Linked DNA regions of Drosophila melanogaster. The protein of the gene in region 1 interacts with the protein of each later gene in a pairwise test. Each region holds a gene or a part of one and is shown in the gene's direction. Other genes may lie near its edges.

Evidence for each region.
Region 2: the proteins of HP1D3csd (region 1) and CG34174 interact in a two-hybrid assay, tested with the Drosophila melanogaster proteins (one large-scale study listed by BioGRID).
Region 3: the proteins of HP1D3csd (region 1) and CG9902 interact in a two-hybrid assay, tested with the Drosophila melanogaster proteins (one large-scale study listed by BioGRID).

Annotation. Positions count from the first base shown.
Region 1 is NC_004354.4:19,188,642-19,197,272, forward strand, and holds HP1D3csd (heterochromatin protein 1D3 chromoshadow domain), read left to right. Parts: upstream 1-1,572; 5' UTR 1,573-1,634; coding exon 1,635-2,174; 3' UTR 2,175-2,388; downstream 2,389-8,631. Other genes in the region: Mec2, read left to right, coding at 393-906, 999-1,164, 1,244-1,447; CG7914 (uncharacterized protein), read right to left, coding at 3,860-4,807; CG14194 (uncharacterized protein), read left to right, coding at 5,191-5,228, 5,307-5,377, 5,783-6,357, 6,418-6,810.
Region 2 is NT_033779.5:2,210,228-2,218,885, forward strand, and holds CG34174 (uncharacterized protein), read left to right. Parts: upstream 1-4,038; 5' UTR 4,039-4,084; coding exon 4,085-4,157; intron 4,158-4,210; coding exon 4,211-4,657; intron 4,658-4,744; exon of another isoform or gene 4,745-4,786; coding exon 4,787-4,920; 3' UTR 4,921-4,940; downstream 4,941-8,658. Other genes in the region: CG15385 (uncharacterized protein), read right to left, coding at 22-642, 698-1,283, 1,350-1,490, 1,546-1,864, 2,052-2,148; Uch (ubiquitin carboxy-terminal hydrolase), read right to left, coding at 2,743-3,106, 3,188-3,330, 3,389-3,529, 3,669-3,704; daed (daedalus), read right to left, coding at 5,104-5,232, 5,288-5,998; CG15386 (uncharacterized protein), read right to left, coding at 6,348-6,581; CG42371 (uncharacterized protein), read right to left, coding at 6,599-6,732, 6,786-6,915; mio (missing oocyte), read left to right, coding at 7,200-7,317, 7,371-7,544, 7,603-7,854, 7,947-8,658.
Region 3 is NC_004354.4:16,538,189-16,551,466, reverse strand, and holds CG9902 (uncharacterized protein), read left to right. Parts: upstream 1-3,946; 5' UTR 3,947-4,032; coding exon 4,033-4,119; intron 4,120-4,186; coding exon 4,187-4,613; intron 4,614-4,669; coding exon 4,670-4,920; intron 4,921-4,987; coding exon 4,988-5,581; intron 5,582-5,642; coding exon 5,643-6,456; intron 6,457-6,543; coding exon 6,544-7,784; 3' UTR 7,785-9,343; downstream 9,344-13,278. Other genes in the region: Arp2 (Actin-related protein 2), read left to right, coding at 1,002-1,217, 1,281-1,490, 1,561-1,989, 2,055-2,225; CG9903 (uncharacterized protein), read left to right, coding at 10,686-11,714, 11,787-12,122.

The DNA of each region.
Region 1 (8,631 bases):
CATAATCGTCAATTGCTACAACATTCTAATTGTATTGGCGCATATATATTACACCTGTCTATATTTTTAATCGTAGGAATTTTTATTGGACTCCAAGATAAGCGGGCTGATTGGTGTTTATCCGTGTTTTCTTTTTTTTGATTGTGATGGCTATTGCTTTTCACAGCTTTCTCTTTTTCAAGTTGTTACATAGTCCATCATAGTCCTGTTTTACTTAATAATAAGTTGGTCTCTTCGGAATCCGGACAAAGAAGGTACTTCATCTTGGCCATCGAATTGAAGTGGACTTATCTACGTTTCTCTTGCGGCACAATTATTGTACACATATGCCTGAAATATGGCCATTTTGTAGATGAATATTTCATATTCATATTCCTAACATCCCATTGCAGCGGAGAACGAGCCCAAGGGCTGCATGGAATGGGTGGTCACCCTGTTCTCCGTGCTGATCTTCATCATCACATCGCCCATCGCCATCTTCATATGCTTCAAGGTGGTGGCGGAGTACGAGCGGGCGATCATCTTCCGGCTGGGCAGACTGAGCGGCGGAGCTCGTGGTCCCGGCATGTTCTTCATCCTGCCGTGCATCGATGAGTACCGCAAGGTGGACCTGCGCACGGTTACCTTCAATGTGCCGCAGCAGGAGATGCTGACGAAGGATTCCGTGACGGTCACTGTGGACGCCGTTGTCTACTATCGCATCAGTGATCCCCTTTATGCGGTCATCCAGGTCGAGGACTACAGCATGTCCACTCGCCTCCTGGCGGCCACCACGCTCCGAAATATCGTCGGCACTCGCAACCTGTCCGAACTGCTAACCGAGCGCGAAACCCTGGCCCACAATATGCAGGCCACGTTGGACGAGGCCACCGAGCCGTGGGGCGTCATGGTGGAGCGCGTTGAGATGTAAGTAGCCATTTAGTAGGCATTTGACATCCATCAGATCAGATCAGTATTTCTTAACATCTGTACGTTGTATGCACTTCACCCGCTGACAGCAAGGATGTCTCCCTGCCCGTTTCCATGCAGCGTGCCATGGCCGCCGAAGCGGAGGCAGCTCGTGATGCTCGTGCCAAGGTGATCGCCGCCGAGGGTGAGAAGAAGTCCGCCACAGCGCTCAAGGAGGCATCCGATGTCATTTCCGCCAGTCCATCGGCCTTGCAGGTGGGTGTTGTCCTAGTAAAAGCTGAAATCAATCGTTGAGCACGGATTACCAGCCATTCGAATTTTTCTGTCATCACAGCTGCGCTACTTGCAAACCCTGAGCAGCATCTCCGCCGAGAAGAACTCCACCATTATCTTTCCTCTGCCCATGGAGCTGCTTACTCCGTATCTGGCCAAATATGCCCACTTGATGGGCCCGCCACCGGAACTTAAGCAATCGCCAGAAAAGTCAGATAACATAGTTTTAGACGCACTGGACGCTTGGCCGAAAACCAACCTATGATTTGAATCTAGGGCGTTGCCAGAGTTTGAAAATATTAATGTCTTATTCATTTTTTTTTTTTTTTTAATAAATGCAATTCGCACTAGCTGGCAGCTTCAGCAATCGGAAACTTGCCGCCATTTTTCATTTAACGATTGCACGTGAATTCATTTGGTTTACTTTTGCAAGAGAACTTTATTGCTAAACGATGGCGGACAAAGAAAACAGCCCCAACAACAAGAACACAGGTGGTTTCCCCGCGGAGGAGGAAAAGCAGAAGGAGAACGATCAGCAGAAGGAGAACGATCAGCAGAAGGAGAACGATCAGCAGGAGGAAGTGCAGGAAGAGCCGACAAAGGATGAATCCAAGGAGGCCGGTTCGACGCCGCCTCCAAAGCACATGGGAGTTCACAATTCGGCTCGGGCAGAGCTGGCTCGGCTGCTCGTCGAGTTGTTGGTACAACAGGCAGAACTGGATGCAACCAACGGTGGCAGCGTGTCAGGGAATCTCGATGGCGGCAATTCCAATGAGTCCCAACCGTTGAACGTGCCGCCTACGGATGCGCTCCTGGTCCGCGGCAAAGCAATTGAGAATGTTATGTACAGCTATATGCTTGGTGACACGGTCTACTTCATTGTCACCTGGAAGGGATCCAAGTGGGGGGAAGCCGTGCCTGTTCAGGAGATCAAACATGTGCACCCCAAGCTACTCATTGACTACATTAAGAGCCTGAAGCTACAGGACTGAAAAAACCTCCGAAGCCCGAGGATTTATAATATAACTGGAGCAGATCTCCAAATTGACTTTATCCATTATCATTATCCATCCATGAAGAAAATGTTAAAAGATCTTGAATCAACTCACAGTATTTAAGTTAAATTACTTTATTTTTTTTTTCGTTTTTGTCTTGTAACAATAAGTTTGCTTCAAAATAAAATTATCCTTTTTATTGTTTGTAAGTAATTCAAATTATTTTGTAAAGAATGTTTCGAAATAACGAATTGTTAAGGCACAAACACATTTGTTTCTCAAAATCAAGGTACAGGGTATGTTCAAATTGGTGTTCAGATTATTCCAATCTGAACACCAATTGGGTTGATTCCTAAAATATCATCCACTTGGTATGACTTGAATTAGATTGGATCACTAATAGTCAAATGGAATCATAACCATGTTGTGGACACAGGAGGTCAAATAAAAAGATGACCATAGAGAATGTTTAATGGCAATTGGATTCATAATGTTTCCTTTCGATTCATCCAGTGAATAACCAGACGCTCAATTGTATTAATTACAGCGAAAACCAGTCGGCTTTTTTAAAGACAATTAAATCCCGATCGATACATTTGGTATGAGAATTGCAACTGCAATGCTCAGATTTTAACAAAGTAAATGATTTGCCGACAGCGAAATGGATTGAAGAGCCACCTGGATGGCCAAAACCATATGTTCATTTAGCAGCGATAAGTATAGATGCCCTATAACCAATTAAAAGTAGCAAGTGTGGGCAAAACAGTAGAAGTAGTTGGAGTTACCTGTATTACTGATGATGAAGAAGTGAACTCCTCCTCCTTTATGGAAGTACACATTCCATTTTCGGTACACTCAAATGCTTAATTGGAAGTATAGAAAACATGTAAAAGTTTCAAATGCCAACTAGAGAGAATGCTATAGTCAAGTTCCCCGACTATCAGATACCCTTTACTCAGCTAGTGTGAATGCGAACGCGAAATTTCTGAATTTTTCTGGTATATCGATAGATATTGGGGAATAAAAATTGTTCAAAAGTGTGGGCGTGGCAGTTATGGCCGCTTTAGGGCGTTAGACTGGGTGTGGCAAAAAAAAAATTGTAAATCGATAGAAATTTACACGACTAATAAAATTATTAAAAAATATCCAAAAAAAATTTCAAAAATGTGGGCGCGGCAGGTTTGGGCGGTTTTAGGGCGTTAGAGTGGGCGTGCCAAAGTTTTTTTTAAATCGATAGAAACTTACACGACTTATAAAATAATTTAAAAATATTTCAAAAATGTGGGCGTGGCAGTTTTGGGCGTTCGAGTGGACGTAGCAAAACGTTGTTTGCAAGTCGATAGAAATTAATGAAGACTAATCAAAATGTGAAAAAATATCAACACATTTATTAAAAGTGTGGTCGTGGCAGTTTTGTGCGGTTTGTGGGCGTTAGAGTGGGCGTGATAGCCTTCTAGCATTTATAGTACCTAAGATCTCGACGTTCATACGGACAGACGGACATGGCCAGAACAACTCGGCTATTGATCCAGATCTAGAATATATGTATATCTTCTGTCTGTTACATACTTTTCAACGAATCTAGGGTATAAAAAATATAAAACCCTCGGTATAACCAGTACGATCACAAATTCATTAACAATATTCAAATATTTATAAGCAACTACAGTTTTTCCCGGCATTTACAACATATAAATGTTTGCCGGATCTACGTCCAATGATTGTGTTGCTATTTGGGCGATGTTCTTTTGAAAACTTGAATCTCCAGCCACGATGAGGACACGCTGTCCGGGAATCGCGGGATTGAGGTGGGTGGCCAGTTCGGTGGCATCTAATCGGGACACCTTTGCCGTCTCCTTGTAGCGTAGATTGTCCCGGAGCTGAGGGCACTGCTGGGCACAGTGGCCCGCCTCCTGGCAAGCGGAGGAGTCACACTGCTGATGCGGCAGGTAGAGGCAGCTCCTGTAGTTCCAGAACTGGGCGAACTCGAGCATCTCCTCGCGGAAGTAGACATGCAGCAGGTCGTGAGCGCACACCAAATGCCACAGGCGACTCATATCCTCCTCGTTGTCCAGCACCTGCCGAACCAGCGGCAGAGTGGGTGCAATAGCAACTCCCTGGGCGATAATATAGATGCACTTGGCCGGCTGCGGTTCGTGTACGTATTGCCCGATGGGACCACGGAATTCCAGCAGATCGTCGGGCTGTACGGCTTGCAGGTGCCGAGACATTGGCCCCTCCGGCTGCAGCTTCACCAGGATACGGAACTCTTTGGCCACAAAGTCGCTCCAATAGGGCGAATACGGACGCAGCAGGGAGCCGACGCGCAGCATCACATGGTGGCCGGGCGGGATGTCAAGCACCGTGTCCACCGCTCCATCGCCGTCCCCCTCCTCTGCTGCATGAGCAAAGTGCAGGAGCAGCAACTGTCCATTGGGTCCCAGCGCTTCCCGCCGCAACAGGCGGAACTTCGTGTAGCTCAGGATCACGTTGCGTTTGCCAGCCAGCAGGACGCGTTTGCTTGGCCGTGGCTTGTTGTCGAGGATGCAGTTGGTGCAGCCATTGCCGCAGCAGTCTGAATCCCGCAGCTGGTCCTCGTTTTCCTTCAAATCTTCCAAATAAGATAACATTTTCCTGTGCCTATCGAGGCTATCGATAGCAGGCTAGCGTAGCCGGAAATCTGGCGAATTGTAGCCAGACATCTGGCTAGTCCTTAGTCAAGCCAATCGCCAGAGCAGGCAAGAGTTATCGATATCGAATCTCGGGACAGAAATGCCAGTCAAAAAAGTGTGTAAATAAAACAAAGAACAGAATATCTACAGGGAAAGGGGTGAAAGATCGGCGCCAGGCGTAGAGTACTAACTGCCCCCGCCCCCCCACTCCATCATAACACACAGCCTTGTTCGGGCGAAGATCGCTTCGTGGAGCGGACGCGGTGCGGCGGGTGCCCACGAGCAACTAGTGTCCAGGTACCAAGTGTCCAGTGACATAGCTCTATGGTGTCCTCAGCAACATGAATCTGGAATCTCTGTTCCGCGACTTCAATCCCTGGTGAGAAGCCTCCGACTGCGGACGACCGGATCACATGGGTTCCCAATCTAAAACATAATCGACCATGTTCCCTTTCAGCAAGTTCATCGTCCACTGCAGCCTGTTCATCTTTGTCACGCTCTTCGCCTTGCGCCTCGACAACTACATTGGTGGGTACTTTTCTGTGGCAGTTCTGGAATACACAACGTCACCCAGAATTAAAATAGCACGGGGATGCAAGAAAATACAATCATATAACAATACAAGCATATACGACCCATACACAAATATGTGTACGGTGCACCATCGCTTCTTCTAGAGAATAGTCCAGATTTATTGTATACAAGGGTTAGCAAGCAGATCATGAGATTGGATATAGCAATATCGAAGAAATCGTCTGACCATAGAGGATCATCCAAATTTGGTCACTTAACGAGGATATTAGTTCTCTCGCTATTTTAAATAACTTATCTAAGCTAAATATTTAGATTTTTAATTACTGAACAAGATTTATTGTAGGGCATTAACCTTATAATTGGCCTAGTAGCCTAGTCTAATCGAATGCCTTATCCCAGATTGGCCCTACTGGGCGATTTTCACACCGCTATGGATATGGAAATGCACCGCCATCCTGGGCGCAATCGTAGGAGCCATTGTGTGGTGTCGGTATCCGCATTATCGTCTCGAGGGCGATGCCTACACGCAGTTCAAAGCGATGCTCATCTCACTGGCCCTGCACCTGATCCTGCTGATGTTTGAGCTGCTGGCCTGCGATAAGCTGACCTCGGACCGTCACTTGTGGGTGCTGGTCTTCATTCCGCTGATCTTCGGCTCGGTGGTTAGTGTGGGCGCCTGTGTCTGGGCCGTCAAGCACGATCGCTCCTTCGAGCTGGAGCTCTTCCTGGCGGTCAACGCGCTTCAGTTTGTTTCACTGCCGCTAAAGCTGGATCGCTTTGTCTACTGGAACTGGGACGTAGTGTTTGTGCCCATGTGGATCGTCATATGCCTGAGCCTGGTCAGCGTATTGTATAACATCATCTTCTGTGGCATCATGATGCGTACGCCGGAGGTCTCGCTGCAGCAGAAGAAGGCGGCATTAAACGCAGCGGTGGGCAACATCTGCACGGTGCTCCCACTGCTCTGCTTTCAGGTGAGACCTCATCTAGTCCCTCCAAAAGATTGTGCATCGCTAACCCATCTATTCCGCCAGGTGGTCATCTGCGACAAGCTGGACGGCGAGCTTAAGTTCCCGTACATCGTGGTCTTCTCACCGCTGCTCGTCTCTATTCTGGCGCTAATAGTTCTTAGCTCCTCGGCAAAGGGCGGCAACATGTGGTGGTTCGGCATCCGCAAGTCTTTCAGCCAGTTCCTGTTGTCCGCGATGCCGTTCCTGCAGGAGTACGGCAACATCAGCTATCACCCGGAAACCCACAGCAATGCTGCACAGTCCATGCCGCTGGACGCAGCGTCCTCCTCGACGAGCATGGCGGCCAGCGAGCAGCTGCACGAGTTCCACAAGCACGACAAGAAGAGCAAGAAGGGGGCCAAGAATGACATTCTCAAGCCGGTGGTTCCGTTCGTCAGCATCGATCTGCCGGACTAGATATAGACGGCCAGTACAGCACAGGAGCAGTACAGGAGCAACAGTAAAACAGCAACATTTACAATAAATCGCAAGAACCGCGTAGACTTAAGGACAGCCTCTTTGCACGCGCACAAGGAGACGCCGCACACCTTTGTTCAGGTGTTTATGTTAGGCATTGTTAAGCATACCCATACCCACTTACACACTCACGTCTCCGTCGTAGCTTTTAGACTTGTACTGAATTTTAATTGTAAGACAAACGCTAACACCGCCCACGAACCATGTCCAACCAACCAACCAACCAACCAAGCACATCGCACCCACCATGCTCCCTTCCACGCATCCGCCTGCATATGATAGCACATATAGCACATACATGCATACAGGACCTGACCACCACACGCTTTTGTCCAGACCCGAATCGGACTCCAACTTGACCACAAATTGAACAGCGCCGCATTCGGAATTTTGACTCGTGTGCTAGTATTATATGTAAAACATCTCTCACACCTTGAGAAGCCCACTTATGTGTAATGACCTACTATAAAGTGTAAATAATTAACAGAGTACGTGAAAACGAGAAATATACTTAAGTGCTTCCATCAAAATGAAAAGACGATGATGAAATGGTTCGAAATTCGTGTGAGTTGTATTTATCTTTATTCAATTAGGAAGCTACAAAGTTTACATATGTATTTCATAGTTAAGTTTTGCATTTCATTTTTAATTAATTCTCTTACGTTGTGTCGCCTAAAAAGTTATGCAAAGGTAAAAAGTTGCATTTTAAAAAGTGACCATCCATTTGCCGGACAAAATAATTGAAGATTAGCCGGTGAGCGGTATATATAAAGCGCATATATATATATATATATGAATATATGAATATAGTCTGCAACCGGATCGGATGCGACTGGAAGTACATATTCTTGGGGGTGTGGGAAAGAGAGAGTGAGGCACATAATCGGAAATGGGGAATCGAAATGGAGCGGGACAGAGTTATACATTAGTATAGATATAGTTAAAGTGGGCTAAACGCAGGCCGTGTAAGCATTAACAATAATTCAAATACAATATATATCTGATCGATCGCGAGGTGCAACTGGCAACTTAACTATTGCATAACATATCGCATGAGTGGGCGTGAGCTTGCTTGCATTTGTTAATCTGTATAACATTTTTTTTTTATAGAGTGTCCGTTTGTATTTGGTTTTTTGTGTGAGAATTAACAATTGTTTCATTGGCTTAGCTACATAAATACGTTGCTCGTTTTCGGGAACATACGGGGTTATTACCTAAGACGTCGATCTCCTGCAAATATAATGCACAATCGCAATCATAATTAAGGTTAGCAATAGCACGTACTACTTATCGAATAAAACCTTCCGCCTGAACCTGCTGTGTACATATGGCACAAAGTTGGCCAAGTAGCGATATCAATTTGAACTCTTCTCGATTTACACTAAGTACTCTTGTGTAGAAGAAAAAAAAACAAAAAAAAAACACCTACGCAACTCCTTTGCTGCAAAATATATTGATCCTAATCTGGTTTGCAATTCGGTTACCTATGATGGGCCTCTAGTTTTCACCGGATTGCTCCGTCTTTCGATTTTTATTTCACTATTAAAGTTGGCTAAGAACAATTGTTTACTTGGCTACATTTGCTTATACCACTGACCTTCTGACCCCGTGAGCACCAGAAGCCGCACCTCCACGTCCATTCGGATTATTCAATCCGATCCACGATCAGTGAGGGATTCTGAAACTATGGGCATGAGTTAGCTAGCTATCAACTATCCGGGAAATATCATTTGCCATCACTGCTCGGATGGAATCTGTGGA
Region 2 (8,658 bases), on another chromosome or scaffold:
ACTCATCACCTGGGCGGGCTGCTAAAATTCGCCAGTTTTTGGGGGATTCACAGAGCCACAGGCTTCCTTAAAATTGGTGGCATTCAGCGGACTGAAGTAATCTTCGTGCAGGAAGCGAATGATGTTCTCGATGGGACAGAGATCGGCTTTGTTGCCCCTGGAATCCCTGGTGACCCGTAGGCTTTTGCCTCCCTCGCAGAAATCGATCTGCTGCGTGACATCCTTTCCATTGTACACCACCCGGAAGTAGTAATCCGTGTGAGCGTCGCTCCGGTAAACTTCGAATGCTAGTCTGGAGGCATAGGCTATGGTTTGGCCCTGGTTGGTGATGATTCCCAGGGCAGCTGTAAGATACTGCATGGTGCAGTCGTGTCCAGAGTACAGGACAAACTTCGTCCTGTCGCCAGAGATCATCTTCAGCATGTAGCTGACTATGTGACGGATCATTCCGTAGGATCGCAGCAATCCGGATAGCTTGTAGTACGAGTGACCAGCGGAGCGTTGCGATAGTTCGTCCGCAAAGGACATCAGGGTATCCACGTGGCTGGGCTCGACGCAGCCCTCTTGAGCTTCATCCGCCTGCACTGAGGGATTCCCATTTTCCACCTCAGGGGAGTCGGGTTCCACCTGTGTTTGTGCCTCCTGGGGACAAGGTAACATGAAACCTTCAACATTGCAGGAGCTCTTCAATAGTTACCTGCATCAAGTTGGCAGCTGTTTCATCCTGATCTATATTGATCACATCCACCAGTTCCTGATTGGAGTTCTTTCTGAGGGGCTTTGGAGTGGAAAGCGCTTTTTTCCTGCGACATGGCAAGGTGGCGTCATGGCATAGAACTGTCAAAAGGGCATCCACCACCTCGAAGGGATTGCTAATGCCATTCGGCGTGTGCTGCAGTATGGTGCCTCCGATCCACTGCATCACATCCAGGACATCGCCACGTTTCAGGAGCTGCTTATCACCCATGGCCTCCAGACGTTTTCGCAGCAGAGCCGACTGAGGACAGCTGCACTCGCCGAAGCAGAAAGCCATGCTATGCGATTCCCGGACATTCAAAGCCAGCCACTTGTCCGCCGGAAGCAAGGTGAACAGCATGGCCAATGCGGACTGGAAGGTGCGACGATAGCGAGTGGTGAAGACCACCACTTCATCCGAATTAAGAAGCGTGTGGGGCGTCGTTTCCACAGAGGCTCGGTTCGGATTCGGTTTGAGCAGGAGACCCAGTGGATGAGCATAGACCTGGTGCATGATGTCGCCCACGTGTAGCAGCTGCGAGATTCCCCTGGTGAATGAAAAGTCAGGCGTATGATTAATAGCGGCATTGAATGCCGGTAGTGCATTCACTCACTTGTAGGTGAGCTGCCCCAGTGGACAACCACGTTCTGTGGCCGGCAGCAGTGGAAACCCATGGAACGGCCCCACCTTGTTCCAGTACATGTGATTTGATCCCGAAGCGGAGCTGCTCGAGTTATACAGAAAACTGCGATACCTAAAGCAAAACCACGTATCAATGAATAAATATTTCCGGAAATGTGATAGCCCACCTGTTGACCAAGTTATCTGAGCCACCACTCACGCCGCAGTTGATGCCAGCACTGCGAACGTGGGATATGGGTCCCCGATCCCCGTGCCTGATGACCAGGAGCACGCCCTGAAGCTTCCAACCCTCCAAGATGCCGCCATCATCCAAACGCTGCAGCTGAGCCAACGGAGCACAGCGTTCTCTGTACTTGGCGAATCGCTGGGCAGTGGAAGATGGCGAACTATCGCCGCCCAAGGAACTGACGGTGCCAGACGAACTGGGTCCGAAAACTGAGCCACCGCTTGGAGTCGACTCAACATTGCCCATGTAGCGATACATTCCTAAAAAGGATTATCAAAGGCAAGGATTAGCTATTTGCCTATGAATATAACAAAGCACGTCCTATTCGAGTGTTGACAACCATATTAACTAATTGGGTCAACTTAAGAAATCTTTTCTTAGATTTATATTGAGTATATATTGAATGTTTTCCCACGATTGCCATTAATCCGCTACTTTTCCACTTACCCGCTATAAGAAGGAATATCCAGACGCTGAGCAGCACATAGCAGTAGAAGGCTCTGTGTTGGGTGGCCACTCGCATCAGTTCCTTGAGCAGCCTCATCCTGGCCAGAAAGTCCGGCTCTTAACTGCTGCCCGCTAGCTCCACTGCTGCTCCTCGGCATCAACTCGTTGGGCGGCACTCCTGGAGGGTTTCTGTCGATACGATAGCTCTGATATACTCCTATCCAGTGCTTAAATTTCAGGCTAGAGCTCCGCTGCACGGGGATTGCTTTTTTAATGCTAAGTGTAGAAAAAACAAGGTTCAAGCGTTTACGTGGAGCACGACTAATTGGCAGGGCATGCGCAATGGAGGCCACATCGTTATCAGCTGTTGGCACAGAGGTGGTGGACAAAGGGGGAGTTTGAACAGCCAAGCCTATATTTTTATATATGTATATTAATAAGTAAAAGCCGTGTGGTGTTCAGAATAAGCTTAGCATCAAGCTAGAGTGCACTCTTTAATAACAATCATGGTGTTCCCAATACATATGCGGCTTTGGCTCAATGCGGAATAAATATGCGTAAACTATTGACCGGCTGAAAGGCGGGGCTTCGTTCGCCTTTGCAGCCTGGTTTAAAATATGTTGGATATATAAATATATAGTCTGGCAGATCCGGGATCTTGGTGGTTCTCAGTTATGGGATTAGTTCCACCCTATTGTTGTGCCGCGGTCAAGGCCAAAACGGTGAAGCGCACTTCGTTGGGATCGCGAGCCATGAACTCCTTGCAGACCTTGGCCGCATCCTTCACAAAAGTCTCCTCCGAAGTCGGTCCGTGCTTGATCGGGAAGGACTTGCGGCCATCCAGCTCGTACAGAGTACCCTCCTTGTTCACCAGTGCGATGAAGTGGTGGATCACCTTCTCATGATTGGCGGCATTCGTCTGGCCCTCTTGAGCCAAGGCCTCATGATCGGCGGTGAACTTCTCGTCTTTTTCGAGGGCCCGTCCGCGTTCCTCCGGGGACAAGGAAGCTGTCTTCTCCAGGAAGTCCTTCAGTACTCCGCGGTCAATGTCCACTCTGGGGAAAGATTACATTTTGTGATATATAAAGAGATACGATTATTAACGATCTTATATAGAAAAAACGTCACGAACTCACTCTTTGTTGTTGGCCACGCTGTGGATCAGGGCGACGGTTCCACAGGCGTTGTGGGTGAACTGGCGCATGTAGAAGAGATCCTCGGGATGCTGCTCCTCCACCTCCTTAATCCGATCGTGCTCCTCGGCGCGGTGCTTCTCATACTAAAAATGGAACCTGGTTGGCCAGGATAATAAGATAAGAAGGTCAAGCTAAACCTACGGTTTCGCTGCACGGGAAGAGCAAAATGAACGCCTTTACGGGACGCGGAATCCATTCCAAGGTGTCATCTTCCAATCCAATGACGTCAGTTACCGACCAGGCTGGCGACACGCCCAGTTTATGTATGTACTTGGTCAAAACCTGGAAAAGTGGGAATGGGAAGGTCTTAATGGCGTCTTTTAACTTTATTATCCAAATCCGACATTTTGGAACAAAGAAACAATGAATGTGCAAAAACTGGAAGTGCGGTAGGCAAAACCTTTACAGGTAAAGTCATTACCTCGGGATTAGATTCAAGTGGCGTCCAGGTTAACATATTTTTGAATTTGGCTTTAGCAGTGATCTGATTGAAAATTCACAGGAAAATGAAGGATTTCTACACACAATTACCGGCACTTTTGACGAGCTTTACTTTTTTCTGAATGTGGTGTGTGAACATTGATTTGGTCGAAACATATCGATTATAAGCTTTTCAATTGTGTGTATTAAAGCAATTGATTCATGTAATCGATTAAGATTAAATGAAATAAATGTCGAAATGTCCATTCCCCATTTAAATAGCTATAGTTCTATGCTAACATTGAATATATTCACTTATCGATATTAGAAACCATTAGTGTTGATAAACGCGTTGAACGTATTTCCCAAAGAGGAGGTGTGCATACACTAGCTGAAGTAAACAATATTGTTTACAAAATGACCAAAGCGAATAAAACGCCGCAAAAAGCAAGTGAACCGAATATAAATGGTTCCTTCACACCAGTTCGATGTAAGTTGGCTCCAAAGACAAAAAAGGTTATTATTTCTTTGCATCGTTTCCAGATTTGGACAGCCAGCGCCTGCAATCGCCCACGAGTCACGATGCGAATTTAGCCACCTGCAAAACCAGATTGGAAACAATAGTCAAACAACTCCAGGATAACTACGCTAAATGGCAGCTGGCCCATCAGCGGGGCACCTCTATTTGCTATACTATCGAAGCCAAGAAGACCAAGTGTCTGGAGAAAAGCCAGGATGAAGGCAGCTCCCTTTACCCAGATGATCTCCTACTTCCCTGCAACAAGTTGGCCATCATAGCCTCTATTTTCGGGGATATCGCAAATAATACAAAGGAGATACTAAGACAACTGAGAGGCATATTAAAATTACCGGGATCTGCAGCGGATACGATATTCTACAGGTCCTGGAAGTTGCAGCAATTCGTGGTTTTCGCGAAGGAGCTATCCGAAAGATATGAGAAGGAGGCTCTGGTCAAAATGGAAGTTGCCGGTAGGAATAATAAAGCTCCTCTTTGTCGAAAGCAGCCCCTTTAATACGTTTGAAAATTCAAAGAAGCACAGATTAATTTCTCAAATTCGATTTACCATCTTAAATATAATCATGTTACTTTTCTTATAGGTAACATTGCTCACTCGACTGAAAGAAGCCAGCTCATTGCGCACACAACTTTATGGGAATTTCCCGAGCACGTGGACTCCTATGTCCATCTGGGGTTTCTTCTCCTTGCCGAAGAAGTCAGTTTAAGGCAATAAATTAAACAATTTTTCAACTTAATACAACATATGGTTTCTATCAAATGTTCATGTTGGGCAGTAAAACTTCATTACAGCTTTAGATTAAGCGAATGCTTAAAGAAGTAATAAGTAAATTCTATAAACTTAGGTCCTATGAGAAAATCGGAATGTAACTATTAAATGCATCGTTGTGCGTTTTTTTTAAGTCTGAACGGAGATCCGCTCCAGTCGGGGAGCGCTGCGGAACTTGGTCCACCACCAGAACCAGGCGCACGAAAATCCCACAGCCAAGGTGGTGTAATACAAAATAGTAGCCAGGCTCCACTTCTTCTGCAATGCAAATTTGTATAAAGGAAAATAATTTCTTATTGCTTGCTATATTCACCTTCTTGTGACTCTCGTTGCCCTGCACTTTCTTCTGGCTCCTTGCGTTCTGGGCATTAGCTTCGATTTTCGCGAGATCCTTGGCAATCTCTTCGGTGATCTGATTCACGCTTTTTAGAGTTTCCTGGGCAAAGCAGCTGGCATATCGTTTGTCGCCCACCACGACGTCCTCGGGAGTGGAGACCTGCAGCTTGTAGTTGGTGGCCGCTAAAGAAGCGCGCAGGGACATAAAGTGGTTGCCAGCATTGCCCAGAATCTGATTGTTGTAGTTTTCGGCTTCAGGATGGTTGCAAATGTATTCGTAACTGGGATTCTGGTTGGGAATCTTTTCGAACATCTCCAGGAGCTGTTGCCGTTGCTTTCGACACTTGAACCCGAAGAGTTCCAAATCTTCGTCGGTGAGAGAGGCCAAATCCAGATAGTTAATGTTCTCGGCAATAAGTTTGTCCACACAGGTGCTGGCGTAGTCCGTTTCCACGCTGGTAGAGCACAGTAGACCGTTGAGGATCTCCCTCTCCCGGCGTGTGTCCCTGTGAGCCTTTTGGCGAACCCAAGGACGTCGATTGTAGCCCAGGAAAGCACTGTCCAATTCCTTCTGCTCGGTGTGCGAGTGAAAGTTCTTTGTGGCCTCAAACTGAATGGTCGGCGGAACCTTGGCCATCGCCACCAAGGGGACATCCCCCGCGGACATTGTGTGCGTCTTCGTTGCCATAAACTCTGTCAATAATGGCAATTAAATTACCATTAAAATGCAATTGCGCTTAGATTAGATTCGCTGTTAAGAATCGGACGTTTACGAGCACTGCGAGTAGGGGTGGTCAAGATTCCTAACAGATTATGTTAAAAGTAACAGAAGTAGTAAGGGCTCTGTAAACATTTAAAACGTGAATATTAACAATTTAGTAATTTTATTTCCTTTTTCCTATTTCGCATTCTTGTACGAATCGAATTTTCTTCTAATGAATCACCCTACCCAACCAATTAAGATTAAATGCTTAACATTTGTATTTAAAAAGTATAACAAATTGATAAATTGATGACGATTAAGCTTCCTAACTATCCTATTTCTCGGACGATGACCTGTAGATTGGGGCACTGGTGGTGGACGCCTCCTGGAGCTTCTTCATAAACAGAGCCTTTCGCTGCTCATCCGCACTCAGTTTGGTACTTGAAACGGAGGCTTTGATGCGCTCTAACTTGTCGACGTTCGGCTCGGTTAACACCATTAGGCCGTACCCCATTCCTCCGAAGCCAATCAGCCACAAAACGGACTTAAAGTAGGGATTACTAAGCATTTTGGAAGCGGTCTCCTCTAGTCGCTTTTCTTCAAAGCACTCCAATAACTCGCATCCGCCTGTCGCACTGTGCTGTCTCCGACGATTTCACCAATTTTGTAGTAATAGTCCAAAACGAAGGGATAGTTCTCGTGAATATGCTGACGAAACTCTAGGAGCGGATTGTTATTAACGATCAAAATAATTATATAAATATCCTCCCACCTCGATTCGTGTTCATGCGATAATAAACGCCGTAGCTGGCTGCGAAGCAGACTGCCTCGAGGACAAACAGTGTTTTGGCACTTCCTTTGATGAATTTCCAAATTGCAGGTTTTGGTGTTTTGCGCAGCATTTTAAGTGGGAGTTGTAAATATTAAACACGTTTGCTTTCTTACAAAAAAAAAAGGAAAACAAAATCACCTACCAGCTTATCGATAAAACGAATTATCGAACTGGGCCAGTGCTGGCTAACATGCGGCCAACAGCTGGTCGACCGGCTAGTGTGTGTGCGCCTCTTCTTCTTGCCATGTAGTGCAGTGTTTATCTCACGTTTTTGTTTTTGCAAACTGATAACGCGACGCAATTTAGTCTGTAGTGAAAATTGTTTTTTTTTACATCGATGGAAAATCGGCCACGATGAGCGGCAATACACACGGACTCAGCTGGTTTCCACATTTTCCCGACAAATTCGTATCCTGGGGCCAGGAAATCCATTTATACGAAGTGCGCCGCAAAGATGATCACAGCCAAAAAAGTAGGGTTTTCCCCAAGGGATTATGCCACTTTACTTAACCGCCCCCCTTGCAGGTCGCCTGCCTTATATATCCGTGAACTACCTCGCCAACGAGTCGCGCTATCAATATGCCCGCTGCGTGGCCGCCTCCTACCACAGTGACCAGCCCATAATTGCAGTGGGTCTGGCGGATGGCAAAGTCGGGATTTGCAACTTCCGGGACACCTACGACAGCAGCTGGGAGTACAGTGGGTGGACGACAACGCCGATTCTTAGCTGCATCTAATAGTTCTTCATTTCTCGTAGCACCGCGTCAGCAGCGCATGTGCACCTGCCTCGCCTGGAACGAGCTGGATGCCAATATCCTGGCCATTGGACACGATCGCCATCGAAATGACACCTGCATCACCATCTGGGACATTGAGCGTGGAGTTCCCAAGGAGACGGCCAACTTCTTCGGCGTCGGCGAGTCGGCCAACTCCATTTGCTGGGATCGAAATCATCGCACGGTCATTGCGGGAATGAGCCAGAAGATGATAAAGCTGTTCGATCTGAGGCGTGAGTACACATAATGCGACTGGTTATATTTCAACTACGTAGTATTACTTTATTGCCCTTTCACTGATGAAATCTTTAAATCCCTTTCGCAGAGAGTAACGCCACCTGTCAAAGCATTCAAACAAAGACAGTGCAGGGACTTTCCGTATCCCCCAATGGCAACTATCTCTGCAGCTATGTGGACTCGGTGATCACTCTGTGGGATCCGCGAAATATCAAGAGTCCCCTCAGGCAGATTCAGTCCTCGAAAAACCATTTGCAGATCGCTTGGTGTCCGACCAGGACAAGCCTGCTTTCCTCGCTGCAACGCGATTCCTCCTACATCACTCTCTACGACATCCGGAGTGTGGACACGGACAATTCCGGAGAGATCTACCACGTAAAACGACAGATTAGCCCCTTTCCGGCTAGATACCAGCACAGTGGAAAGTTTTCGTTTGTTAATTGCCTGTCGTGGCATTCGAGGGATTTCGAGAGAGCTCTGCTTTTGGCAGATGCGCTGAACATCCTGGACTTTCGACTGCCAGCCACCTTGCACACGGCGCACAGCAATCGCCGGAAATTGCCACTTCTGATGCAGCGTCCGCTCTACACACCCGCCTCGCCGACTTCCACTGCGGCCACGCCCACTCAGCAGCAGCCCACGAGCAGCTGCAGCACGAATAGCGGGAGTTCCCTGGACTTTAGCACTCCTGGTGGTTCGCCCTTCAATGTGGACCTGCTGAAACCGGAACTCTTTGAGCTGGATCTGGTGGACGAGACGCGTCAGCGCGCTCTAGAGGATTACGGCATCAAACCCGATAA
Region 3 (13,278 bases), 2.6 Mb from region 1:
AGTTTGTATAGTTAAAAAAAAAACCAAAATCCAAACTACCACTACCAGAAATCTAATCACCAAGTAAACATAAAATAATAAAAATTTGTATACGATTGACACAATACGAAAATACCAAAAACCAAAATAACACACGCTTGGCAAAATATTGCGAAATTTTTTTGAAGTTCAAGCTGCGCACTTAGGATTTAATTAATTAATTAACTTAACTGTTAACTGTTCACATTTTTCACTAGTTGTTTGCCTTGAATATTTTCCCAACTATATTCCGGCCCCGTCCAACTATCTTGTTGCTTCCTTTTGGCCATCATCTATAATTGTACTCCATCCACAAAATCGACAAAATCCACAATCGAAAAAAAAAAATTAAAAAAAAAAACAAATCTATTAATTCTCATATCGGATAAATCTGAGGCGTGTTTAAAACCGAATTCCAATCGAATCTGTTCAATTTAACGACAAATTTACGTAAATATAATTTTTGTTATTTAAGTTTTACTCCTATGTTTTCATACCATTTGTTTCCTAGCTTACACCCTTTGGTTTTTTTTGTACATATCTTAAGGCAACCAAATTCAGTTGCTTCTCGTTTTAATTGTGATTTGCTGATTTGAAATTGTTATGTGTTCTCGTCTGCATGATGTCCTGTGTCTGCTTAGCCCTATTTTAATCCCCCGTTTGTTTTGCACGTCCCTGTGTTTGCCAGTGTTCCGGAAAGGCAAGTCCTTTTCCGCAACTACTCACACTCACTGCTGCCTCTTGTTAATCGTTGATTGTTTAGACGAGTTTAGTTGCATTCTTGTAGTGTGCTCGCTGTTATTGTGCCTAACACCTGTGTATGTCTCCCACACTAATGACTAACCATCCCAGCCTCTAAGCAAATACCCAACCAATCAACCATCCAACCAACCAAACAGTCCAAACCAATCCGAATCCCAATGGCTATCCATTGACCAAGCCACGGACACTAACGCTGCGTCCTCTGACGAACGAATTTACAGGATCTGATGGTCGGCGATGAGGCCTCACAGCTGCGATCCCTGCTGGAGGTCTCCTATCCGATGGAGAACGGTGTGGTGCGCAACTGGGACGACATGTGCCACGTGTGGGACTACACGTTCGGTCCCAAAAAGATGGACATCGATCCGACGAACACAAAAATCCTGCTAACCGAGCCGCCCATGAATCCCACAAAGAATCGCGAGAAGATGATTGAGGTGAGGTCATACCATATTTTAAAATCCCACTTCAAACTAACATTGTTGTGTTTGTGTTCACAGGTGATGTTCGAGAAATATGGCTTCGATTCGGCGTACATTGCCATCCAGGCCGTGCTGACGCTATATGCCCAGGGTCTGATCTCTGGCGTGGTGATCGATTCGGGCGATGGTGTAACGCATATATGTCCCGTCTACGAGGAGTTTGCCCTGCCCCATCTGACGCGACGATTGGACATTGCCGGTCGGGATATCACTCGCTATTTGATTAAGGTTGCTTTGCCTTACAATTACATATAGCCAAACTGTGACTTATACTTTCGCATCTATCTATGATCATTAGTTACTGTTACTACGTGGCTACGCTTTCAATCATTCCGCCGACTTCGAAACGGTTCGCATAATGAAGGAGAAGCTCTGCTACATTGGCTACGACATCGAGATGGAGCAGCGTTTGGCCCTGGAGACGACGGTGCTGGTGGAATCGTACACGCTACCCGACGGTCGTGTTATCAAGGTCGGTGGCGAGAGATTTGAGGCGCCAGAGGCTCTGTTCCAGCCGCATTTGATCAACGTCGAGGGACCGGGCATTGCGGAACTGGCCTTCAACACCATCCAGGCGGCAGACATCGACATACGGCCCGAACTCTACAAGCACATAGTTCTGTCCGGCGGCTCCACCATGTATCCGGGTCTTCCCAGTCGGCTGGAGCGTGAGATCAAACAGCTGTACCTGGAGCGGGTACTCAAGAACGATACGGAAAAGCTGGCGGTAAGTTGTCAAGTAAAGCTAATCAATGCACATCGTGTTTAACAAATTGAACGATTACATTGCAGAAATTCAAAATACGCATTGAGGATCCACCGCGACGCAAGGATATGGTCTTTATCGGCGGAGCTGTTCTGGCGGAGGTGACAAAGGATCGCGACGGCTTCTGGATGTCCAAGCAGGAGTATCAGGAACAGGGTCTCAAAGTATTGCAAAAGCTGCAAAAGATCAGTCACTAGAGGCGGATGGATGCGAAATCAGTGTGTGTGTGTGTGCGGACCGCAAGAAATAGGATAAAAAAGTGATAGATTTCTTTTCTCTATTTTCTATAGGTTTAAACCTTTCAGATTTACGTGATATATCCGTCTATATATGTTTTTTTTTTTGTGTGTGCCTGTGCGAGTGGGCGTGTCTGTTGAGCAGGATTGGTCCACTTGCCCTTAGATTATCTATAATCGCAGACATGTCGTCACTGGTCGTTATCCCCGTACAATATAATGTAATATTTCTTTGAGCGCGAAAACTTTAATTCGATAGTCGCCTAAATTGTGTAACCCTGCATTAGTGTGTTTAATTGTTTATAATTACGTCTAAAATTCAAACCCAAAAGCCCTTTTCTTTAATGAATACGCATATATAACTATATATATATACATATATAAATTCAAAGCACCTCGAGTGCGGCGATATTTTTGTAAACGCAAAATGTTTCATTTCCAGCGAGTATTTCACATTAAGTATTAACTAGGCCAAGTCTGCTAGTAGCAGCTACTAAAATCGTGTGTGTGTTAAGACAGAGACAGAGACAGAGGAAATATAACGAGGAAGTTGCATAGCACAGAAGGAGAAAGCGCGAGTTCGGTCGTTAACTAAATACACTGATTGATTCGATCCCGTCTCGCCTCCCGACACTCGACCTTAAAGTAAGCATTTCTGGATTGTCTCCAACTAGATAAAGATGAAGTTACCTACCCATAAAGATACAGATAATCGAAGTCACAAGATTACGCATTTACGTTGCCCCATAATCGAAAGTACCATCAGTCGAAGTGTTAAATTTGATTTAATTTCCTTACCTGCCTTTTCTAGTTAGTTGCAATTTGATGATTGTTGGGGTCGCAACTATCGGCATATGATGAATAGTATATACATATACATATGTGTGATCCATATACATATATCCGTATATGTAAAATGAATGTGGAATGCCAATTATGTAAGTGAATGCAATAAACGTAATTATGTATGATGTGTACTGTATACTGTAGTCTAAAACTAAATCGCATACGACTTTTTTATGGTTTTTTTTTTGCCAAATTAAAAACAAAACAAAAATGACAACAAGAGAGCATGCTATAGTCGAATTCCCCGACTATCAGATACCCGAAAAGAGTTGTTTGGCAAATGGATAGAAATTTAAGAGACTAATAAAAATATGAAAAAATTCAAAACTTTTTTTTAAAAGTGAGGGCATGCCCGTTTTGGGCGGTTTGTGGGCGCGGCAACATGGGTCAACAAACAGTTCTTGAGATCTCGACTTTCATGCGGACGGACACGTCCAGATTGACTCGGCTATTGGTCCTGATCAAGAATATATATACTTTTATATGGTCGGAAACGCTATTGATCGTGATCAAGAATATATATACTTTTATGTGGTCGGAAACGCTTCCTTCTACTTGTTACATATATATGTAATTACCAACGAATCTCGTATACCCTTCTGGTCTATAGTAAGTGTTTTGTATTCTTGTTTCTTTCAAATAAATTTTTAAATTACTTTTGCCTGCATAATAAAATTTCAGTTGGCAACAATGGCCTTAGCGAATGCACCTTCCACATTTAGCAAATACGCCTAGCCTTACAGTTTAGCGAGTATATGAACCTCGTGTAGACAGCGTTGCCCCTTTCGATTAACATCGATTTACAGTAATCGGGTTCAGCTGTTGTTCGTTGCAACTTTCAAGCTAAATTAAAATAAATCGAAACCGGCAAAAAAAAGGAAATCGACTTGACATAGCATTGCCATGAATTAAGTGCTGCAAAATGGATATAATATTTTCTCAGGATGTGCACGATGAACAAAAGTTTCTGGATTGTGCGAGGAAACTAGAGTACGACGAGTTTTCGGCGGTAAGGACTTGCTTTGTACATAAATCCTTATGCACACGTTTTCATTGCTTAAATCTTGGTTTTATAGAAAATGTTTGTATTCTGCAATAAGCACAGCGCTTTGGATGTGTTTGAGCTAATGGGCGATGACCGGTTGTCGCAGTTACTCTACGGATGGGAGGTGTGCCACCTGCCTACCAGGGATTCCGAGTCGCTAAAGGACCCAGCGCTGCGTCACATGGTCAGGGTTTTGGTCTACCACTCGCTGCTGATGTGGTTTAGCCAAGAGTGGAAGACCTGCTCCGAAGGCCTCAAGCAGCTTTTGCTCTACACCCTCACCAAAGCAATGCCGGCATTCCATCAGATTGGTGAACTGGCCAATATCAACTGGTCGTACGTTCTGCAGTTCCAGACGAAGCCCTGGAGCCTGCCCTACCTGCATCAGCTATTTCTTAACCTGGAGCTGAATAAACAACACGGCATCGAACACAAAGTTCAAGCGGCATCAGGAGAAGGTAAGCCATTACTAATTTTCGTCAAGGATTCATCTAATCATTGCCTTATTTCTTAGATGTTGCTTTCCTCATGCAGGAAGGGGTATCTCTGGCCCTGCTGCGACTAATCCAGCTCTTTAACGCCGGCAACTTTGAGGCTGTAAAACAGCTGGCGCTTCGGATGCTAGCTGCTTGGCTGAAAATCCACGAAAATGCACCATTTGTGTCCTTTAAAGGGGATGAAAACACAATTACACTAATCGGTCATGTATGCCTCTTGGCCGCTTTTGTTAGGGATGATAATCAAGGCTTTGTGATTGATAATTTGGTAAGGAAAACATTCATCATGTAACTAACATAACAAAACTAAATGTCGTCATAAAACCACCTCGTAGATGTACAACATAGGGTTCTATGTCCAGATCATGGAGGAATTTTCGAGCTCACATGATATTAACTTTACGCCAGCTCGGCTTATTGCCCGCGTTTGCGTCCGTCTTCGACTCGGAAAGAATGCGTTTTTTGAGAAAATTGCATTTAGGAAATTCAATCTATGTATGGTCACTTCATTTGCCGTCATACTAGATGCCTACTCCAGCTATGTGCTGGGAAATTTATTGATGGATCTTCAGTCGCTTAACGAGCACGATTTCCTGGAGCACCTGCCACAGTTCAAAAAGCTAATGGATCGCTATGTAGAGGAGCGCGAGAGCAGCGAGCGCTTTCTTCTAAACGAGCTCAAGAAGATGGAACAACAGCGAAACAGCTGCATTGAACCGCATCTAGTAAACCTAATTCTCAACTACAAGCAGCAGATATGCAAGGGAAATCGAGCCAGCAACATAAGCAACTACAAGAACAGTGATGACGACGAAAAGATTCAGCCTGAGGTGGGCGAAGAACAAGATAGACAAGTAGATCCGGTTTTTCAAAATGTACCAAACAATGAGGAAGTTTTGAGCTTTGTGTACAAATTGCTGGCAGAGCGGGTAAGTGATGAGAACTAACAAAAGCGAAAACTTTACTAAGCACCGCGCTTTTTTAATTTAGAATTTTTCAGGCTGGAGATTTGCTAAGATTGCTCTGCTGCTGAAAATTATTGGGCAACAAATAAATGCATTAGAAATGTGGAGATATCATCCCGGGTTAACCGTTGATTTTATGCTCGATTTGGAGCAAAAGATGTCTGCAAACTATGCTGACCTAGCCAAATTGTTCTCTGACCATGGATTTATGGAGGCAGAATTCTGGCTGACTGCTTTCTACCTCCACCCCACATCATCAAATTATAACGAAGTAAAGCGCTGTTCGTGGATCATGAAAAATCGACAGGAGGAGGGCGGGCTCCCTGCTCCAGCGATTGGCAACGTCAAGTACGAACTGCTGAGCTCCACCATCGATGTGCACCAGATTATGACCATAACAAACCATGAAGATCCAGTGTCCGACTACGATCCAATAAACGAGTCGCTGAAGGCGTTGCGTCTACCCAGCAACATGACCAAGGATCTTCTGACCGTGGTCTTCCAACCGCGACATAAACAATACTCATGGGCTCTCGATTGGCAAACGCTAGACGAGCGTTGCAGTGCCCTACTCAAAAGCCAGGACCTGAAGAGAAAATTTGTGTCTCTTAACATGGCCGAATCATGCGACGACTTGAAGTATCTCCAGATCGACTATGCCAAGTACAGGGATCGACCACAGTTGGACTATGGCACCATAGAAGAGGGCTACGAAAATGAGACTAATCTCTCGAATGCAGCTGGAAAGGCTGAATCAACACCAGCAGTGCATGATAAAGCAGAGAAAGCCAAGGAGCTGAAAATGCGGCGACACGCAAAACGCAAATGTTGGTATGAAGGTTAGCAACGAAATCTTTTTTCTTTGAGCAACTTTCATATAAGATTAGATTCAGTCAAACTAATGAATTGAATTTTAAATCCCACAGTTTCGGAAGACGAGGAAGAGGCTGCCTCAAGTGATTCGGAGCCCAGCTACACAGGAAATGGCCGCCGAACACAGATTAGAGCCGCAGCCATTGCATCCAAAGCTAATGGTCGCCGGACTGGGATTAGAGCCGCAGCCATTGCAGCCAATATCAAATTGTCTGAAATGTCCTTTCCAGAGACATCGAATAGGCGCTTTTCTACACAGCCCGTCGTCAAGGAACAGCCAAAAATCGCCGTCCAGCCTAAAAAACAAAAAACAGTATTGTTTTCGAAAGAAGAGGATGAGGTTTCCTCAAGTGATTCGGAGCCCTGTTACACAGGAAATGGCCGCCGGACTCAGATGAGAGCCGCAGCCATTGCAGCCAAGGCCAAATTGTCTGAAATCTCCTCTCCAGAGACATCGAATAAGCACTTTTCTACACGGTCCATCGTCAACGAGCAGCCAAGAATCGCAGTCCAGTCTCGAAAACAAAAAGCAGTAATGTTTTCGAAAGACGGGGATGAGACTTCCTCAAGCGATTCGGAGCACTGCTACACCAGAAATGGCCACCTGAATCGGATTAGAGCCGCAGCCATTGCAGCCAAAGCCAATTTGCCTGAATTGGATCGAAAAGTGAGCGGTGGGCGACGATCGATCTTTCCAGAGGCATCGGGTAATCACTTTGTTACACAGCCCGTCGTCGCGGAGCAGCCAAAAATCGCAGTTCAGCCGCAAAATCAACAAAAGCGTACAATTGCCGAGCTGATGAAGTCACGACCCATGTTTACCAACGAAACGAAAGGATTTAAGCCGATCGCCGACATATGGAGTTTCAGCAAGGAAGAGCTAGAGAATGTGGTTAGCGGGCCCAACGACATGATAGAGTGCAGCTCGATTATAGCCAAAATGAAGTTATTGAAGGACCTCAAAATGGCGAAATCTGCAAAAGCAGCCGGACAGCCATGTTCACAGCTCGTTCGCACAGGATCAGAAACTGAAAGCGTGAATTCCGAAACTTCCACGATGGCTACACACGAATTTAACGAGAAGGGGACCACTGTAGGTTCCCCCGGTGAAGGTAAAGAGCAAAAAACACCTTCGCCGACCGCAAACTCCGAATTAAGCACTGAAACAGAAGTGTTGAAGCCCACCGATGAGACTGAAGCGCATATGATCCATGACGCCCTAAAAACTACAAACGTGCCACAGAAGACTCTGGACTTACAGTTCTTGTCCAAGAAGCACATAAGAACTGGATAACAGACCCAGGAGTCCCCAGGAGATGTCATAGAAACTAGTGATCTCAAACAGGTCCCCCTAAATAGCCTGTTCAAAGTAGAGGGACTGGATGCAAGACAGGCGACAGGAAAGCCAAAAAAAAAGGAACAAACGGAACAGGATCTGCCAAATACTAGAAAACACAAAGATAAGCTTCACATGCAACGCCATTTTTTTTTTTTTTGTTATTTCTTTACTTACATATATACCATAACTACGTAACAATTTATTATACAGCCTCGATGTTAGTAGAGATGTGAAACCGGATAAGGTACTGCCGCAAAGCATTGCTTCGCATTAGGGGCACCAAAGATTTGGAACCTCACGATCTTGGTGCTTTCCGGAAAAGCAAACTGTAGAGCCATGTGAGACTCCGGACATGAACCCGAACTTTCTGGATCTCGATGTCGATTCGAGGACAAGCACCCGATTGCTGAAGTAGCTACCTACGGCGTGCAGCAAGTAACCTGCTACCTAAAAACCAAGTGACCGTGGAGATCGCGTCCAGCGTCGACAATTCTTTCCGGAATCCGTACTGGTTTGTAGAAAGTCCCCATGCAGCCGATATTGCTGTGTTGAGCCTCGCCGCGATCACCTTCTCGAAGGCAGATGGGTCTTTACGAGAAGGGTTCGGCAGGGTGCTTGCCTTGGTTGCCTTCTATGGGATCCGATCGGGTCCTGATTTCTTTCTGGTTTTGAGGCTTCTCGCAGCCGCCAGAATCTTGGGCTACGTGACCGGCCGCAAGTGGTCAGCTTGACACGTCTCCGCTTATCTGCCAAGTGGTAATGGTCTCCTCCAACTTCGCTGCCATTTTATCCGCTGCTGCGTTCGCCCAGTCTGCCTCGTCGATTGTCAGCTAGTGAAGAGAGCCGTCTAACTCCTTCAGTCTCATGGTGTCCTGTCGGTAGGCCGTATGAGGCTGCTTCCTGGCTGTCGAGTGCTCTTGTGCCGATTTCGACCTGGATCTCAACCTCTGATCACCTCTACCTTCCCGCATATGGCTGCTATGCTTGTTCGGTCTAAAACCCACTTGTTACTGGCCTTAGCCTTGTACGGCTCGCAGAGGAGAGCCACCTCTGTCTTTAGATCGCGATCGGTCTAGGTAAGCCACCCAGCATCCAAAGATTCAAATTATGTTTATGGCGAGCACCTCGACATCCGGAGGGGCATTGTTTGCTACCTTTATGCTTCGTGCTCTTCTTGCCTTCAACTTGCCCCCTTATCCATGCAGTTCCGTGTTAGAAGCAGAAACTTTCTTGATCATTAAAAGGACCATAAACACAACAAACATATTAAAAGAGTTTAAAAAGCCCAACGCAAAGTATCGAAGTGCAATTAAAGAAGCTATCCAAAAATGAAAACTGTGATATCCTAAATTCTCCAACATTCCTCTAGATTATAAAGTTAGCTTAGTCTTTCCTAAATTAAAGTCACAAAAACTGCTACAAGACTACAACTTGACTAACAAGAAGATTGCTCTCTCTCCAAAGGGCCACCTCTCTATAATATCATTGAACTTTTCCCGAGCCTTTGACAAAATAGGTATCCGCTTCCTTATACACCAATTAGGTCTCCTTAATTAACCTTTCCTCACCCTTTTGAACAATATAAATCAATGTTGCACTTTCTCAGGTGCGGCTAACTTTCAATAGACAAGTGCAAATAAATACAAATGCAAACCAAGACAAGAGAGAGTGCTTTAGTCGAGTTCCCGACTATCAGATACCTGTTACTCAGCTAGTGGAAATGCGAAAAAGAAATTTCATCATTTTTCTGTGATATGAATAGATTTTAGGTAATTGGGTAATATTAATAGGTGAGTTTTTTCAAAAGTGTGGCCGCTTCAGTTTTGGGCGTTAAAGTGTGTCGTATCAAATCGTTAAAAAATTTACAAGACTAATAAAAATATACAAAAATAACAAAGCATTTTTCAAAACTGTGGCCGTGACAGATGTGGGCGTGGCAACATGGGTCTGGAAGATGCATGCTTAATCTTCAACATTCTTGCTTTTATAGCTCCCAAGATCGAGACGTTCATGCGGCCAGATTGATTCGGCTATTGATCCTGATCAAGAATATATATATATATATATATAATATGGTCGGAAACGCTTCCTTCTGCCTGTTACATAACTTTCAACGGATCTAGTCTACCCTTTTACTCCACGAATAATGGGTATAATAAAAACAGAAACAAACCCAACCAATCTTAAAGCGTTTTATTACCGGGTGACTTCGAAGTTCCCACAGCCAGCCAAGCAATTTATTGCCCCCGATCGAAATGTTATTTTAACAATTCGCCTTCTTTGTGGCCGTAATCAGTAGCAAATTGTTTAGAGCTCATCTAAACAAAGTGCAATATATTGCAATGCGAAATAACAACAAACAAAGGAATTCCCAATATAACTTAGACAAGCAGGTAGCGGATTTGTACAGTCACAGGTTTTAAAAAATAAAACAATTGAAATTTTTGAAAAATGAACTAAATTTGAATTGATAATATTTCAGCATTTTTATAGATTTTATTTATTTTTATTATTTCTGCTCCTTTTCTTCTTTGCTTTAGTTTTTTGTTGACCCATTGTTCGTTCGACTTTCCCATAGATACGCTAAGTTAATATGCTTATCATTGCCCACAACGACGATAAGATGCACTCAATTGAATTAGAAATTCCCACCAAGACCTTTACATTTACAAACCAACCTGATTTATTCATATTATTATTCACACCTCCGGTTCGCACCTGAGCCCGTCCGATAAGAGCAAATCGAACCGTCTGCTCGATGGCCAGATAAAGCCTCTTTGTGATCCACGACCCACTCCAGCACTCGGATTCGTCGGAGTAGTCAGAGTTGTTGGTCAGTTGGTGTAACGACGCAGCATGGGCAATGTGAATAAAAATATCGGACGGCTGCTTGTGGCGGTGGGAGTGCTGATGATTCTGGGATTGCAAGGTGTCCGATCTGAGTATGGCGACCTGGCCGGCAATTGGCTGGTGGATTATGATCGAGACGAGCTGAATTTTTTTGAGGATTCGACTTGGAGCGTGGATTTGCACATATACAATGTGTTACCGAAGGACTCTTCGCTGGATTACTACTTTGTGGTGTACTCCAAGGATGATCGGAGGGCGTCATCGCCACCGCTGGAGATAAAGAAGGAGGATTTCGATCTGTTGGGCAGCTGGCGGGGAGCGCTATATGTGACTGGAGTTCGCTTTGGATACAGTTCACTGGAGGTGGAACTGAAGTCCGGTGCGGTGACGGAGACATATCCAAAACCCCTGCCAATAACAGTGCTCAGAACACAGGTGGTGGACGAACGCATCACCACCTATGTGTCCGCCGCCTTGGCTCTGCTGATGTTTCTCAATCTCGGAACAGTATTGGATATGCAGCGCCTGGCGGGCATCATCTGCCGACCGGTGGGACCTGTGGTGGGTGTGGTCAGTCGATTTGTGCTGATGCCCGCCGTGGGATTCGGACTGGGTCGTGCTCTTTGGCCAGACAGTTGGCCACTCCAGCTGGCCCTGTTCTATACGGCACTTTCGCCCAGTGGCGGACTGGCCAATGTGTGCGCCGTCTTCCTTAAGGGAAATATCAATCTTTCTGTGGCCACCACCACGATCAATAGCCTGCTGGCCCTGGCCTTGCTGCCCATTTGGATATTGGTTCTGGGCCGGATACTCTACGAGGACGATGAGCTAACAGTGCCGTTTGGCCAGCTTTCCGGAGGAGCAGCTGCCCTGGTGGCCTGTCTGGCCATCGGTGTGCTGCTGCGACTCTGCCTTCCGCGGACCACTAGGTTCATCTTTCGCTTCCTGAAGCCACTGTCCGTCGTACTCAGCTTGTGCCTCGTGGGCCTGACGGTGGGTCTCAACTCGTTCGTCTTCTACGAGTTCACCTGGCAGGTGAGTGCCGTTCCCCATTTGATATACAATTCGAAATGGCAACAACTAATTTTGACCTATATGGACCTATAGATTCTTGTAGCTGCCGTATGTCTGCCCCTCGCCGGCTATCTATCCACTTATCTGCTGTCCAAGATCCTTTGCCGATCCTCCACCGACGCACTAACTTTGGCCATCGAGGCCAGCGTGCTGAACATGACCATGCCCATTGTGCTGCTGCAATCCAGTCAGCTGCAGCAGCCGCAACTGGATCTCGTCCTGGTCGTGCCCATTGCCTCCTCGCTGATCTCCCTCGTTCTGGTCGTCCTGTTCTATGGCATTCGACGATGCCTGGGCTGCAATAGGCAGCAGGATGCGGATGCCTTTGATCACAAGAAGCTGTTGGCAGAGCAGGAAGGTGATGTCTAGTTTTTAGATCAAGTAACCATTTCGTTTTTTTTTCCTAGTAAATTAATGTTATAAAATCGTGAATGGTTTTAGAAAGCATTTCTTCATATATTATGTATTTGTGTGTATAGACTTTACAACTTAAGCTTTAGATTACAAATATATTAAACATTGCATATTTGTGCAATTGCATAATTGTGCAATTTTAAAGGTAAAGGATATAGATTGTTTCTACTCGTTAAAAAAAAAAAAAAATCAAAAAGATTGGCATCACTTTCTTCTCTTCTGGGCAGCATTGGCCAATTGTTGAGCGCGGGGAAATCCAATTCGCTCGATTCTAATGTCTTTTTAATTCACGCGTGTGTGTGTGTGTGTGCTTACATGCAAATTTCGTTTTAGGCCAGCTCGTGGCAATAAAATAAAATAGTGTGTCAACGTCGGCCGTTGGTCACTGCGTATGTACGAGGAATTTGGAGCATTGGCCGCTGGAACCCAGGAAGGCGCATGATGTCATCAGTTCGCCGCGATGCAGGGCTGCCAATTACGACACACGAACATGGCGTACATACATATATAGTACACTTAGTACCTCCATATATATATATATATATATATATATATATATATATATTTACATGTATATGCATATATTATATAATATATATTCGTGTAAACACGTGCTTGTGTAGGGAAGAAGATATAAAAATAAGTGCTACCTTTGCCTGCACACGTGTGTGCGTGGTCAACTAACGGTTCACGCGCGGAACGCATTACCCAACCACCCACTCAACTACCAACCCATTCAACCTACCGATCCCGCCCCAAATTGCCCCACCGACCTCGTTAGCCGGCCCTGACAATGTTTTTTTTTTTTCGGTTATAAATACATTTTTCAAAGGTGGTAAATGACATAACGTGCAACATACTTTAACAGGAAGCTAACTAACATTAACTGGGATAAAAAATGATATTGCAAAGACGCGTCATTTATATGGGTTGGTGATATGATGGCCAATATAGTGTTTCCCATTGGGAACATACATACATACATACATACTAAAAGAAATAATCATTTAACTATCATAAACTGAAATTTTGATAAGTTCATTGTTATTAATTCGATGTGGTCTATGTAAGAACTTAATTATTGGACCTAAAAGAATGCCTTATAAATTGG